2 linked regions of the Caenorhabditis elegans genome follow. The protein of the gene in region 1 interacts with the protein of each later gene in a pairwise test. Each region holds a gene or a part of one and is shown on either strand. Other genes may lie near its edges.

Region 1 (6,841 bases):
TAAACTTGATTCGGAACGATGGATCGATGATCATACTCGAGCAGTCATCATTGAGTTCTCTGCATACAATGCTCAAATCAACTACTTTTCGGTGGTACAGTTGTTGGTGGAGATTCCAAAGTCAGGAATTTATCTTCCTAATAGTTGGGTTGAATCAGTAAGACTTATCAAATCAGAGGGAAGCGATGGAACTGTGGTCAAGTATTATGAGATGCTTTACATCTTTTTCTCAGTTCTCATATTTGTAAAAGAGATTGTGTTCTACTTGTATGGGCGGTACAAGGTGATAACAACAATGAAACCAACGAGAAATCCATTCAAAATTGTGTATCAGCTGGCACTGGGGTGGGTCTAATGAGAACTTCAGTTTCAAAAAGACATTTTATAGAAACTTCTCACCATGGAACTTCATGGACTTGATAGTTGGAGCTCTCGCTGTTGCATCGGTCCTAGCCTACACCATCCGCCAACGAACCACAAATAGAGCAATGGAAGATTTCAATGCAAACAATGGAAATTCGTACATTAATTTGACTGAACAGAGAAATTGGGAGATTGTATTCAGTTATTGTCTTGCCGGAGCCGTATTCTTCACTTCTTGTAAAATGATTCGAATCTTGAGATTCAACAGAAGAATTGGAGTATTAGCGGCTACACTGGATAACGCTCTCGGAGCTATTGTGTCATTTGGAATTGCTTTCCTGTTCTTCAGCATGACATTCAACTCTGTATTGTACGCAGTTTTAGGAAATAAAATGGGAGGGTGAGGATGAAAACTTAATTGAAAGAAATCAATTTTTAAAAATTGGTTCCAGATATCGGAGCTTAATGGCTACCTTTCAAACAGCATTGGCTGGAATGCTTGGAAAACTTGATGTTACCTCTATTCAACCGATTTCTCAATTTGCGTTTGTTGTGATCATGCTTTATATGATTGCCGGATCAAAGCTCGTCCTGCAACTTTACGTCACTATAATTATGTTCGAGTTCGAGGAAATTCGTAATGACAGTGAGAAGCAGACCAATGATTACGAAATAATCGATCACATAAAATACAAGGTATTTATTTTTCAAGCTCACTATTAGATGTTCTTTAATTTCTGTTATTTAATTTCAGACAAAACGTCGCTTGGGTCTTCTTGAACCAAAAGATTTTGCTCCAGTTTCAATTGCTGACACTCAAAAAGACTTCCGTCTATTCCACAGCGCTGTTGCCAAAGTCAATCTGCTTCATCATCGTGCCACCAGAATGCTCCAAACTCAAGGTCAATACCAAAACCAAACAGTCATCAACTACACACTCTCCTATGATCCTGTCTCTGCTATTCACGAAACTGGACCAAAGAGATTCCAGAAGTGGCGGCTAAACGATGTGGAGAAAGATTGATTTTTGAGGGCTACCTAATTTGGATATCAAGAATAAATAATTGTGTTAATAGTTTGTTTTTCAGTTTTTTTTTCATTTTTATGACCGCAGAAAAGTAATATTCAATACAAAAACATAAGAACAAAGGCATGATGGGTCATTTAGATTAATTTACAATAAAATCTACATAAATTTCCTAATAATTTTTAAATCTTCGAGTTTCAACAATGATCACATCCACAATTTCCCTTATCTTCATCTTTATCGCTACCATGTCCTCCTTGTGGCTTTTGCTTCTTCTCTGGAAGAGTATGTCCACGACAGTGCTCCGTCTCATGCTCCTCCGGCTCCCAAGTTGACGGATCATCCCAGACACGAGGCGGAGTGTAGATGCAACAGCAATTGGATTTGAGACGTCCCATGTGTTCGTTATCTAAAGTTTAAGTATTTTTCAAGACTTTTTAATATAAATTCACTCACCAATTACTCCCGCTCCCCAAGTGACACGTGGACGCTCAACTGGAGCTCTCAGGCGGAGCACAAGCTGCTCTCCTTCTTCGTTGGTTTGACAAGTTTCCGTTACGACGGGGGCTTGCATCGTACGACTGTGTAGTTGATGTACGAAATGAATAAAACTTTGAATTTTTTCCCTGGAATCGTGGACTTACACTTTTATTTATTTGACAATTTATATATATTTAAAATGCCATGATTCCACTATAAAAAGTTCAAATTTCAAAAAAATTTATAAATTTCAAAAAAAAAATTGAACTTTTAACGTGAACTTTTGAATTCCCCTTACCTCCCCCTTGCCACACTAACAATTTATTGCTACATACTCGTCCGACAACCTCAACCGTCGGATTAAACAATCTGCTCAATTGATTGGTTAGCTATGGCTTCCTCGTTCGACAACCAAATGGATCAGGATGGAATGTGCTCCGTGTACTCTGCTCAGCCATCGGAGACAAATTGCTCCATCAATGAGGTGCTTGCCAAAGAAATTATCGCTGTCAATGAGACGCCAGATGATCGTAAGTTTTTATTGTCTTTTTTTTGGGAATATTGAGTTTACAGAAGCTGATTCTTCGATCTACCCAATCCCAAAATCAGAAACAAATGTGTCAGCTAGCGAAGGGTTCCAGCCATGTCAAGATATCAATCAATTCAATTTGTCCGTTTACTCTGCTCCAAAATCCGAGACCCCAGTGACCATGAATGAGAAGTTCGAGCGGTGCAAAGACTGTAAGTTAACTGCAACAACTCTATCTTGAAAAACCAAAAATTTTCAGTGATGAACGTTCTTGACTACTCTGTCTACTCAATGCCACCATCAGAAGCAAATGTTACAATGAATGTTGCAAGCTTCTCGGAGTACACTGCCCTTGCCTCGGAGACCAACGTCACAATGGCTGATGTTCTCAAGAACGTTGCTCAGGATTTGGCGTCAGAGCACACTGCAAAATCAGCTCATCCAACATTCGACACCACCGCCTACGTAGAGCGCCTTCAAGCCGAGCTCGGGATTCCGGATAGCAAAGTGATTGGATTGGAGTGCAGCAATTTTTCGAATGCGAAGATCATTGATTCAATTGAATGCCTTCATCAGTTGGACAAATTCCAACCAATCCCGGTGGATTTCGATCAGAATCCTGATTTTGGAAAAACTGGTAAGAGTGAAGTTTATTTAAGAAATAATATTTTCAATTTCAGCCAAATCTGTGGAAAGCTACCTCTTGCGTTCATCCAATGCCAGTTCAATCCATCACGAGATCTGAAGAATCGGAACAAATTATTGAACTTGGTCTATAAAAAATGTCGAATCATTTTTGTTGTTGTCTATGCATTCGTAATTTCTTGGTTTTTTGTATAGCAAATTTTTTGATGACTATTACGATAGTTCATGGAAACGAGACTTGTGCCTGGCCGCCTTTTGCACACATGAAAGCGAGGCGGACAAAATGAGCCCCGTCATGGCTCCCGGGTTGAACACCTAACAAGACGGGAATTCTTCTAAAAAGAGTTGTCTTATCCCTATAAATCTGAAATTTGCATCAATTCTTCACCCGCCCTTGTTGCGATCTACCAGCCTCGTGGTTCTAAGTTACTTCTACCATGCTATTTAATGTTAACTGTACATAAAATGTGGTGCTTCTTCTCAATTTCCATTATTTCCTACTTTTTGAGAGAACTGTTCGAAAGGAGTTGCCTCTGTGAGCATCTATAAATTCTTTGTACAAGTTTTCACCAATCACGTGGCAACCGTGTTCTTTAAATTTTTATAAAATTAAATGTTTTCACGTCTTTCCTACTAATGCCTCAATGTTCATTTTCTTATATTCAAAATTTCATTTCAAAAAAATTTTCAAATCGATCACATCTCGAGAGATCATAATCATGGAGTGTTCTCAGGAAGATGTCGTCAATGGTAATTTTACTGAGTTTGTCATGCCGTCTGAACCGTAGAATTTCAGATTTCATTGCTCTCGAAAAGATTGGTTCAGAAGTGGATATCAATTTGGATGGAGTCATCAAAAGCAAGGAGTGTAGTAACACGAACGAAGCAGATATTATTAGTAACTGTGAGTTGCCTTTAAACGATTTCAGATGATCTTGAATCACCAGATTTTTCAGTGATAACCGCAATCGAAGAATCTTTGAGTTGTACATCGGTCTGCACAGCTGTATCATTGGAGACAGTGGCACAAAAGTTGGATGCCTATGCAGATCCTTCTTTGAATACTCAGATGTCTTTCAGTACAGCATCGGATTTGAGTTCTATGGAACAAGATTATGTTAAAGGTGGGATTCCGTCTCAATTAAATTTTAAAAAATTTATTTTCAGCTTCAGATGATCCTTTCGACCTCAATCATCAACCGTCGCCGCTCCAAGTCTGGCGTGATCAAGGCAAAATCACCGGATTTCAAATGATGTGTGATGATCAGAAGGTTACTGTAGTTGATTCTCTGGAGTGCTTAGCTCAATCGGAGCAACATTTGGAACCAGTTTACTTCGATCCACGTGTCAACCTTGCTATTCCGTGCCCGCCAGATGATTTTGAGATTCTTGAAGACTATGGTTCAACATCCAATGCATCAGTCAATTCGGATGACGCTTCAACCGCAGAACTTGGTCCGACGTCTGAAGAGTTTGAAGAATGGGTTCGGAAAATTGAACAGAACTATTGAATAGCTATTTGATAAAATACATTTTTTCTCATTGAAGATAATAGTTTTGCATATCTGACTCTGCGTCTCCAAAGTCTAAAACGAGTTGAAAACAACAACTGCCTAGGCCCCCTGTCGCCTCGCGTGTGCACATTATACTCTTTCTACTTTTGTTCCTCGCGCTCTCTTTTTCTAGTTTTCGAACACTCTCTGCATATCAAGAATATTCAAAGTGTTTTCTTTCTCTGTTTGATCTCCGGAAATTGCTCCAAATTTACACAAATTTGTGGTCAATTGGTGTCATCGCGCTGTTTCTTGTTTCGTATTCGTTTTTCGTATTTTAAACGAACATTTTCGTTTTCAACAACGACAATAACGAAATTTCCCATTCATTTCATACACTCGAATATTTTTTCTTCGTTTCCAGAACTTGCCATGAATATGCTCCGCTGCTTTCCGGAGTGTGGGATTTGCGGGCAGGAGTATTCAGAAGACGAAAAGCTCCTAATCCCTAGAATTTTGACTGGTACACCGTGTGTTTTGATTCTTAATTAAAAATTATTTTATCTTCCAGAATGTGGTCACACGATTTGTACAGGATGTGCAGGAAAAATAAAAGGACAGTCTTCGATAATCGCATGCCCATTTGATCGAATTGAGACGAGAATTTGGAAAAAAGATGTGACGAGACTCAAAAAGAATTTTAGTATTCTGGAAATCAAACAAGAGGTGAAAGATCGAAAGAACCGAGTAATTTCGGAAAAGAATGAGAAAAAGGAGAGGAATAAGAATGGAGTCTGTGATGAGAACACGAATCATCACGCTTCGAATTATTGTGAGACATGCGACGCCGATTTATGTGAAGAGTTAGTTGAAATATTATCAGTTTCACAAGATTTTGACATGGCTTTTTAAAGGCGCACTCATTTATTTAGATGAGTCTCGGCGCGCAAGAAAAAGTTTATGGTAGTTTTTTTTTCAATTTTTGCGGTCCAGAATAAATTTTAAAAAAAACTATGAAAATGAACGAGAGGGCCGCAAAGAAGCTACCATAAACGTTTTGCGCGACGAGACCCATATAAATAATCCCGTGCGCCTTTTGGAAGTCATTTTAAAATCTTGATCAGAAAATAATAAATATTTTTAGATGCTGGACGTGGATTCATTCTATATCCACACTAGCACATCATGAGAAAAAGATGATTTCAACTCCTGATTGTCAATTTCACCCAGGAAAAAGTATAAGTCTTGTGTGCATGAGAGACAGATGCAAGAAACGGCAGAATCGACTGATGTGCAGCGAATGTTTTTTGGACAAATGCTCGGATCATTTCGAGCACGAGCATAGCTCTCTACACTTGGAACTCCCGGAGCTCAGAAGGAACATCTGTTCGTCGTTGGCATTGTATCATGAAAAAGAGAAGAAGATATTGGCCAATATTGGAAAACTTAGAGAGTCAGTGTATACCTTTTTTCAATATCAATACTTATATATTAGTACAGTAGTGGTACTGTAGAGGTACTGTGGAATTATTGTAGGGTTACTGTAGATTAAGAAAATGGGTATTTTTCCTTTTGGGTTTGGAGTTAGTGATGGCTAATGTCTAGTTACTGTAGTGGTACTGTACTGTGGAATTATTGTAGGGTTACTGTAGTCCAGGAAAAACTTGAATTTTGGAAAAAGTACTCGGTTGGTAAATAGTTGGTTTCTCTTTTTTCTTTCGGAATATGCAAAAACTTGTAATTATTTTGAATTTTGCCATTTTGAAATATCCAAGTTTCTGGAATTTTTTTTGAAGCCAGATTACATTCTCAAAATTTTATTTGTTTTTAATTTTCCATGTGATAAATGTTTGACAGTAATAGCAAAACTTATTCCTGCCGAATACCTCTCAAAAAGCACAAACACCAATTTATTCCGAAGCTACAGTAACCCTACAGTACCACTACAGTACATATAGTAAAGTTCAAACTACAGAGCTTTATGAATACATAGTAAATGATTTATCAATATAACATTTCAGAATAATTGCCACATACTCATACGACGGAGAGCCGTTTTTCCAAAAAAAGAATGAGCTCCTGAGATTTCGACATTTTGAAATGGGAGAAATGGATCAAGCAATCAAAGTATTGGAGAACGAGGTGGTGAAAAGAGTCCGAGTCCTCGAGTATAAAATCTCCAACCAGAAGCTGGATCTCGATTGGCTGCAGAAAAATAAGGATGCCATTGTGAAACTGTCGGCTCTGCCGAATATGAAGCTTGTTCAGCGAAAGTGGGAACTTGAAGTGACTGTGAAGCGGATT
Region 2 (6,092 bases), on another chromosome or scaffold:
TTTCAAGGCTTACTCCACCATACTCTGTACATGCGCCAACTTCTTCAATCTTGGTAAGTGTGTAGTTACTGTATTTCTTTTCACCAAGAAGCCGCATGTGAACAACATAAATCATGGTTGCAGAGTATCCCCACGTAGATTTCGAATTGAATCGTACCATGAACTTGTTGTAAGCGTTATCCTCGATTGGGTAGGCACGCCAGGTCACATTCTGAAAGGAAGCGTTTTAAAGTAATAGGAAACATGCTCAAAGTAGGGCTGACAAACTGGACATCGGATTTATCCAGATTTGAAGGTGCAAAATCTGAGCAATGGGTCGGTTTTTCATGTCACCCGACTGTTTCCGAGGCTGGCAAGTTATATTATCAAGAATGGTGAATGGGCAAACTCGGGAGATGTCGGGCGGTGTGAAAAATCTACTTATCGGCAATTTGCCAGAACCAACGATTTGACATCCGCAAACCGGTCCGATTTGGCAACCCTGCCTCAAAGTTATATGCAAACCTCTTTCTCGTTTCTTCTGTAGGTTTTTCTTTGCCTTTTCCAGTAGTCACTCATTTGATCTGAAATTATTCCTGCTGAAAACTGTCTTCCAAAACTGCTCACTTACAAAAGTTCAATGTCTCGTCTCCACCACAAATCTTGCCCTCGAAGTTATTATCCATCAGACTGTACAAAATATCAGCACTCTCTTGAAACTTCAAATTGTCAGCTGACGATTGGCTGAGCAAGAGACGAGCCACTAGTTCAGCCGAGTGATTTCTTGCAGCCTCCACTGTCTCCGCTGTTCTCCACATATAGTCTAAACGTTGGACTACTCCGAATTCACTCAACGAAAATCGTTTTCCAACTTTCTTGAGGACACGTTGAGTCTTCTTTGATGCATCCGTAGTTGTTATGCAAATGATAAAAAACAGCAGCGCAAATTGAAGAAACTTCATGCCGGTTGAAAATCGGTATTGATTGATTTTTGAGAAAACTGGTTTTTAATCAAAATACAACGTTGCAGTTAAAGGTTCACGTATAATTTTTTGAAGATAATAAATTGGATTTTTTTCACTTTTCAATGTTTTTTTTTAATTTTCAAATGACACACAAAAAATTCAAAACAAATAGGTCTCTAGTTTTAAACTATCGCACCTATGGTCAGCCGCCTTATGACTGCCTGCCTACTGCACGCCTACCTGCTGTTGTACAGAGATGGTGTTCAGTTGATAGGGCGGAAAAAGGGTGTCTGATAGGGCGAGAAAATGTGCTCCAGTGACACATGATGGAAAGTCAATCCAATTCAAAGTTGGTTAAAACTTGGTGCCAAAAACATTCAACTAGTCAAAAAATCATTTATTCTATGGATTTCTTAATGAAGTGTAATAAAACGTTTTCTTTCTTTCCCATTTTTCGGACATCTCAGTATCATTGAAAAAATCGAAAAAGCTTGTAAATCACTATTCCATTCTAAGCCAAATGTCCATTGCGATTGGTGCACAAGTATTTCAGGTTGTGGTGTCCAAATGATGAATATGTACAACCATACTTTCTCCGAAATTTCTGAGAATTCACTGATTCCACCCAAGTCGTATCCTTCCATCCGTCCGTTTGTAGATTTGTTCAGCTCCCAGAATTTGTGCGTCAGATCCGCTGAAATAAATATTAAAAAAAACACTCCTTTGTAAGAATATGAGTTAGCTCACCAAAATTGTTAGCCTTCTCCATTGTCTCTCCATTGAGCCCTGCACAATTTCTAATTTCAAACTTCCGGCTAGTCAATGTTGTAAGAGCATCAACTGCTGTATACCACATCTCTGGGGCGTCAACCATCTTTTGAATTCTGAAATTACATGGGATTACTGTAAGGATACGGTAGATGCTCCAAATAGAGTTTGCACTAACAAAAATTGTAAAGGCGCGTGATTCTAGTGTACTTCATCAATTAGCAGAGCTTGATGTTTTGTCAAAACCTATTCATTTGAAACCCTTGACGCGAAATTCAAAATTCAAATTTCTGATAGTGAGAATTTCTTTGGCGGGAGTATTAAATAAATTTTTGCTGGGTAGGCACAAATAGTTTGCATAGTTGCTTTCAAGGGGACCTGCTTCCTTGCTGTCCACCCCCAAACATTTATTGTCACGCTAAAAGAGCACAGACAGGGGCCTAAATAGGCAAGGGATTCCAACAAGAAAACGTATCTGCCTATCATGATGACCTTAGTATTAGCTTCTACACAGCTGATAACATTTCACAAACCTTGCTCCAATAACCTGGTTAAAAGCGATTGCGTGCTTCTTCATCAAATCAATCTCTGGAACTGCAACTAATGGGCACATCACTTCGAACTTATCAATATTCCATTCTTTGTCGCCATAAACATTCTGAAGTTGTGTCAATTTTTATGGCTTTCTTTTTCCTTCAAACACGTACATATCTAACTTGAATCTTGAAGTTGAATTCCTCAACTGGGTTATCTATTAAAGTACCAATTTGAACTCTCATAGTTACTCTGAATACAAATCGATCGTACTCTCCACCAGTCAATTGCACCGCTGTGTGTTGCTTTTAAAAGGAAAATAAGAATGTTCTGTGAAACTTTATAGTTGTGATACTTACATCGCCTTTCACCGGATGATACATCTTCTGGAACCAGAGCCACCAATCGATAAAATTATACTTTCCGATTTTCTTCAACTCACTCCCGTGACACACTTGAATGTCGAGATCAGCAGATACACCGGTATAAGATAGCCAATTAAATGGGATTACAGACTCTTCTCTATCCATTGTGAATAGTTCATAGAAATGTTTGAATACTTTTTTCCTTGTATCAACTCTCTCTGGGTCAGTTTCATGAAGATCCAAAAATATATCAGTGTTTTCCAGATTCGTAACACCATACTCTGTACATGCTCCAACTTCTTCAATCCTTGTCAGTGTGTAGTTGCTGTATGGTTTTTCTCCGAGAAGTTCCATTTTAACAAGATAAGATATCTTTGAAGAGTACTCCCAAGTGGAATGTGCCATAAACGATACCAGGAATATATTGTCATTTATACTCTCCGTTGGAACAGGACTCCAGGAAACTTTCTGAAAAATAAAATGATATGTGAGTGTTTAAAATTACTGCCTACCTCTCCAGAATTTCTCCGGTACGTCCCTCGTTGTCGTTTCCAGAATTCAGCCATTTGATCTGGAATTCAATCTTTTTTTTAAATTCTGGACCAAAAACGGCAATACGCAATTGTAAAAGTTGAACTTACAGAAATTCAGCATTTCCATTCCACCGCATATCTTTCCCTCGAAGTTTATATCCATCAGACTATACAAAATATCAGCACTCTCTTGAAACTTATAATTGTGATTCGATGATTGTCTCAACAAGTGAAGAGCCACCAATTGAGCCGAATGATTTCTTGCAGCATCCACATCCTCCTGAGTCTTCCAATAAAACTTAAACCGTTGGATTAATCCATGTTCACTCAGCGAGAATCGTTTTCCAATTTTCTTGAAAATTTGTTGAGTCTTGTTCGATGTATCCGTAGTTGATATTCCAATAAGAAAGAACAGCGCAAGTTGAATAAATTTCATCTTTGTTGAAAAACTTGGTATTGTTTCATTTATTTGAAAATTGGATTTTTATCGAGATACAGTTTTCACGTAAATTGGTTGCAAAAAACTAGTTTATTTTTGTTTTACAATTAGAAGTATTTAAAATACATTTAAATAAACAAAATAACAATAAAATGAAAACGTAACCTCTCCTTAACTTCCTTATCAGTAAAGTTCATCAAAATGTTGATTTGTCCCCTTCCTTCTCCATATCCAATCATTCCCTTACATCTATTTGGTGATCAACTTTGTCTCCTCAAAAATAAGTCTACAAATGATCAACATCGATCCACCATCCGGCGACTACCCAGCTTCTGGTGGTTCATCAACTCACTACATTGTCTCCGAATCGGAATCTCGTTTGGCATTCAAAGTCAAGTCGTCCAACAATGAATCGTATCGTGTTCGCCCAGTCTATGGATTCGTTGATGCGAAGGGAAAGGCTAAGCTCGAAGTGAATCGTTTGGCTGGACCAGCGAAGGAGGACAAGCTTGTCATTCAATACGCCGAAGTTCCAGCTGATGAGACCGATCCGAAGGCTCCGTTTGCGGCTGGTGCTCAACAAGGAGAAGTCGTTGTCAAGATGGTTGCTAGCTAAGAAAGCTTACTTTATGGTACTTTTCATATGATAAAAATTTTTATGAGATTATTGATTTTAAATAAAATCATTTTTGTCGGTGTGGCGGGGTTTATAGCTTGTGTGCAAGTGAAAAGCTGTTAAAAATCGTAAATGCGCCTTGCCGGCGGTAGGCGGTAAGCGAACATGCCTACCTTCAATGGGAAACTCAATTGTCAGTAGTTGAGCTATTTTCAAAATGTTTTGTCGGGGACTTGTTTCAAATTTTGAGCGTTTTCAGAATTATATAACAAATTTTTTCTAGGAGACAAAAGCTTCCTGTTCAATCAAAAAACTGAGCTAAAAGTTTCTGAGACAAGTCTACTACGAAACATGAAAAAAAATTCTGTAGAATCGAATGTAATTCTATAATTGGAGTCTTCTTGTTTTTTGAGTTCGGTTTGACCAAAAACAGATGCACCCGATGAATCAGTTAAAGCTGAGTTTTGATTGATTGAAGTTTGAGGAGGCTTTATATTAGGAAAGACGTACCCATATTTTGTATAAAATTGAGTATTTCTATTCGAATCCCGATTACTCACAAAAAACAAAAAAATTTGTCACTTGGTAGAATTGAACCAGTTACCAAAATTTCTACAATCATACGCACTAACCACTCGGCCATGCGGGAGACACCTCAACACAGGTAAAGCGCCACAAGTTATTGGCAGCTGAATGGCAGGTTAAAAGCCGCCAACAGGTTAGTGTCAGCCATACCTGTGCGGCATTCGGAATTTTTCGGCATAACGGCATAACGGCATATGCCGCCAAAAATTTTTTTCGGCATATCGGCATATGCCGATATGCCGTCCATTTTTCGTTTCGGCATAACGGCATTTTCGGCATATGCCGTGAATTTCAAAATCGGCATTTCGGCATATGCCGCGCTCCAAAAACCGGCATTATGCCGGCATTCGGCATTCGGCATTTCGGCATTTTGAACTATTGTTTTCCAGTTACAAAAAATCAACATGATTTAAATGTTTTCAATCAAACTTGCATATTTTTTATATCATTACCAATATCCAAAAAATAGTGTTCGTCTGATTTTGGTATGTGACGTAACACTACAGGTATGCACAATTTTTGGCTTTTGACAAGATATTGAGTTGGGGTTACTGGTTAGATGTTTTTAGGTTTCTATAGGAGTACTTTAATACGCCCAATTGCTATTAAACCCCCTCCACTTGAGCTGTATAGGGCATCTGCAAACTTTTTTGGGAAACTAATATTGACATCGGATGCAGCATACCAAAAAACCTCTGTATCTACAATTTTATACTCACATTTCAAAATTGAACGCAAAAGAGCAAAAAGTTGAAATGTCGACTGTCCAAATGTTATGGGACACCCTGACTAGGAATCCGTCAGAAGGTGCCCATTCGACTTACATATTAGATCTGTTTCATTCGATCTCATATGTAAGTCCAATGGGCACCTTCTGACGGATCATTAGTGAGATTTTCGAGAATTTCACGCAAAATTCTCTTTTTTTTCAAAATATCATTTTAATAATGGAGTACTTTGGTAGTGTACTTTTTGTTTTTTATATCATGGAAATTACTGAAAACATGCAAAAAAAAATTTCAAGTATGTTAAAGGGGGAGTAGAGTTTGTGGGTATTTTGCTTAAATAGACTAAAAATGGTCCAAAACCACCGAATTTCCTAATGAGACTTCACAGAAAATTTTTTATGGCCGGTCAAATTTTCGAAAAAAAAGAGCCAAATTTTGCTAAAATCTGAAATTTCGCACACTTTTCTTTGTCACAGCCGCATTGAGACAACTTTTAGGCCGATAGGCATCCAAAAATGATCAATATTGGATGCCTATCGCTAAAAGTTGTCTCAATCAACGAAATTCCGCGAGATAAATT

Evidence for each region. Proteins that work in one complex are often made in the same cells at the same time.
Region 2: the proteins of ZK945.6 (region 1) and ssp-31 interact in a two-hybrid assay, tested with the Caenorhabditis elegans proteins (one large-scale study listed by BioGRID).

Annotation. Positions count from the first base shown.
Region 1 is NC_003280.10:10,103,825-10,110,665, reverse strand, and holds ZK945.6 (Ovule protein), read left to right. Parts: upstream 1-3,695; 5' UTR 3,696-3,763; coding exon 3,764-3,794; intron 3,795-3,840; coding exon 3,841-3,948; intron 3,949-4,000; coding exon 4,001-4,168; intron 4,169-4,211; coding exon 4,212-4,555; 3' UTR 4,556-4,586; downstream 4,587-6,841. Other genes in the region: lov-1 (Location of vulva defective 1), read left to right, coding at 1-345, 389-763, 816-1,059, 1,118-1,387; ZK945.8 (PPP1R11/YPI1 family protein), read right to left, coding at 1,588-1,799, 1,847-1,964; ZK945.7 (uncharacterized protein), read left to right, coding at 2,262-2,400, 2,444-2,611, 2,659-3,036, 3,080-3,144; putative RING finger protein ZK945.4, read left to right, coding at 4,970-5,060, 5,109-5,400, 5,682-5,990, 6,559-6,841.
Region 2 is NC_003279.8:13,215,266-13,221,357, forward strand, and holds ssp-31 (Sperm-specific class P protein 31), read left to right. Parts: upstream 1-3,875; coding exon 3,876-4,199; downstream 4,200-6,092. Other genes in the region: ZK1225.4 (Cysteine proteinase), read right to left, coding at 1-211, 505-563, 611-941; ZK1225.5 (FSA_C domain-containing protein), read right to left, coding at 1,358-1,638, 1,692-1,828, 2,246-2,370, 2,420-2,551, 2,606-3,079, 3,124-3,182, 3,253-3,580.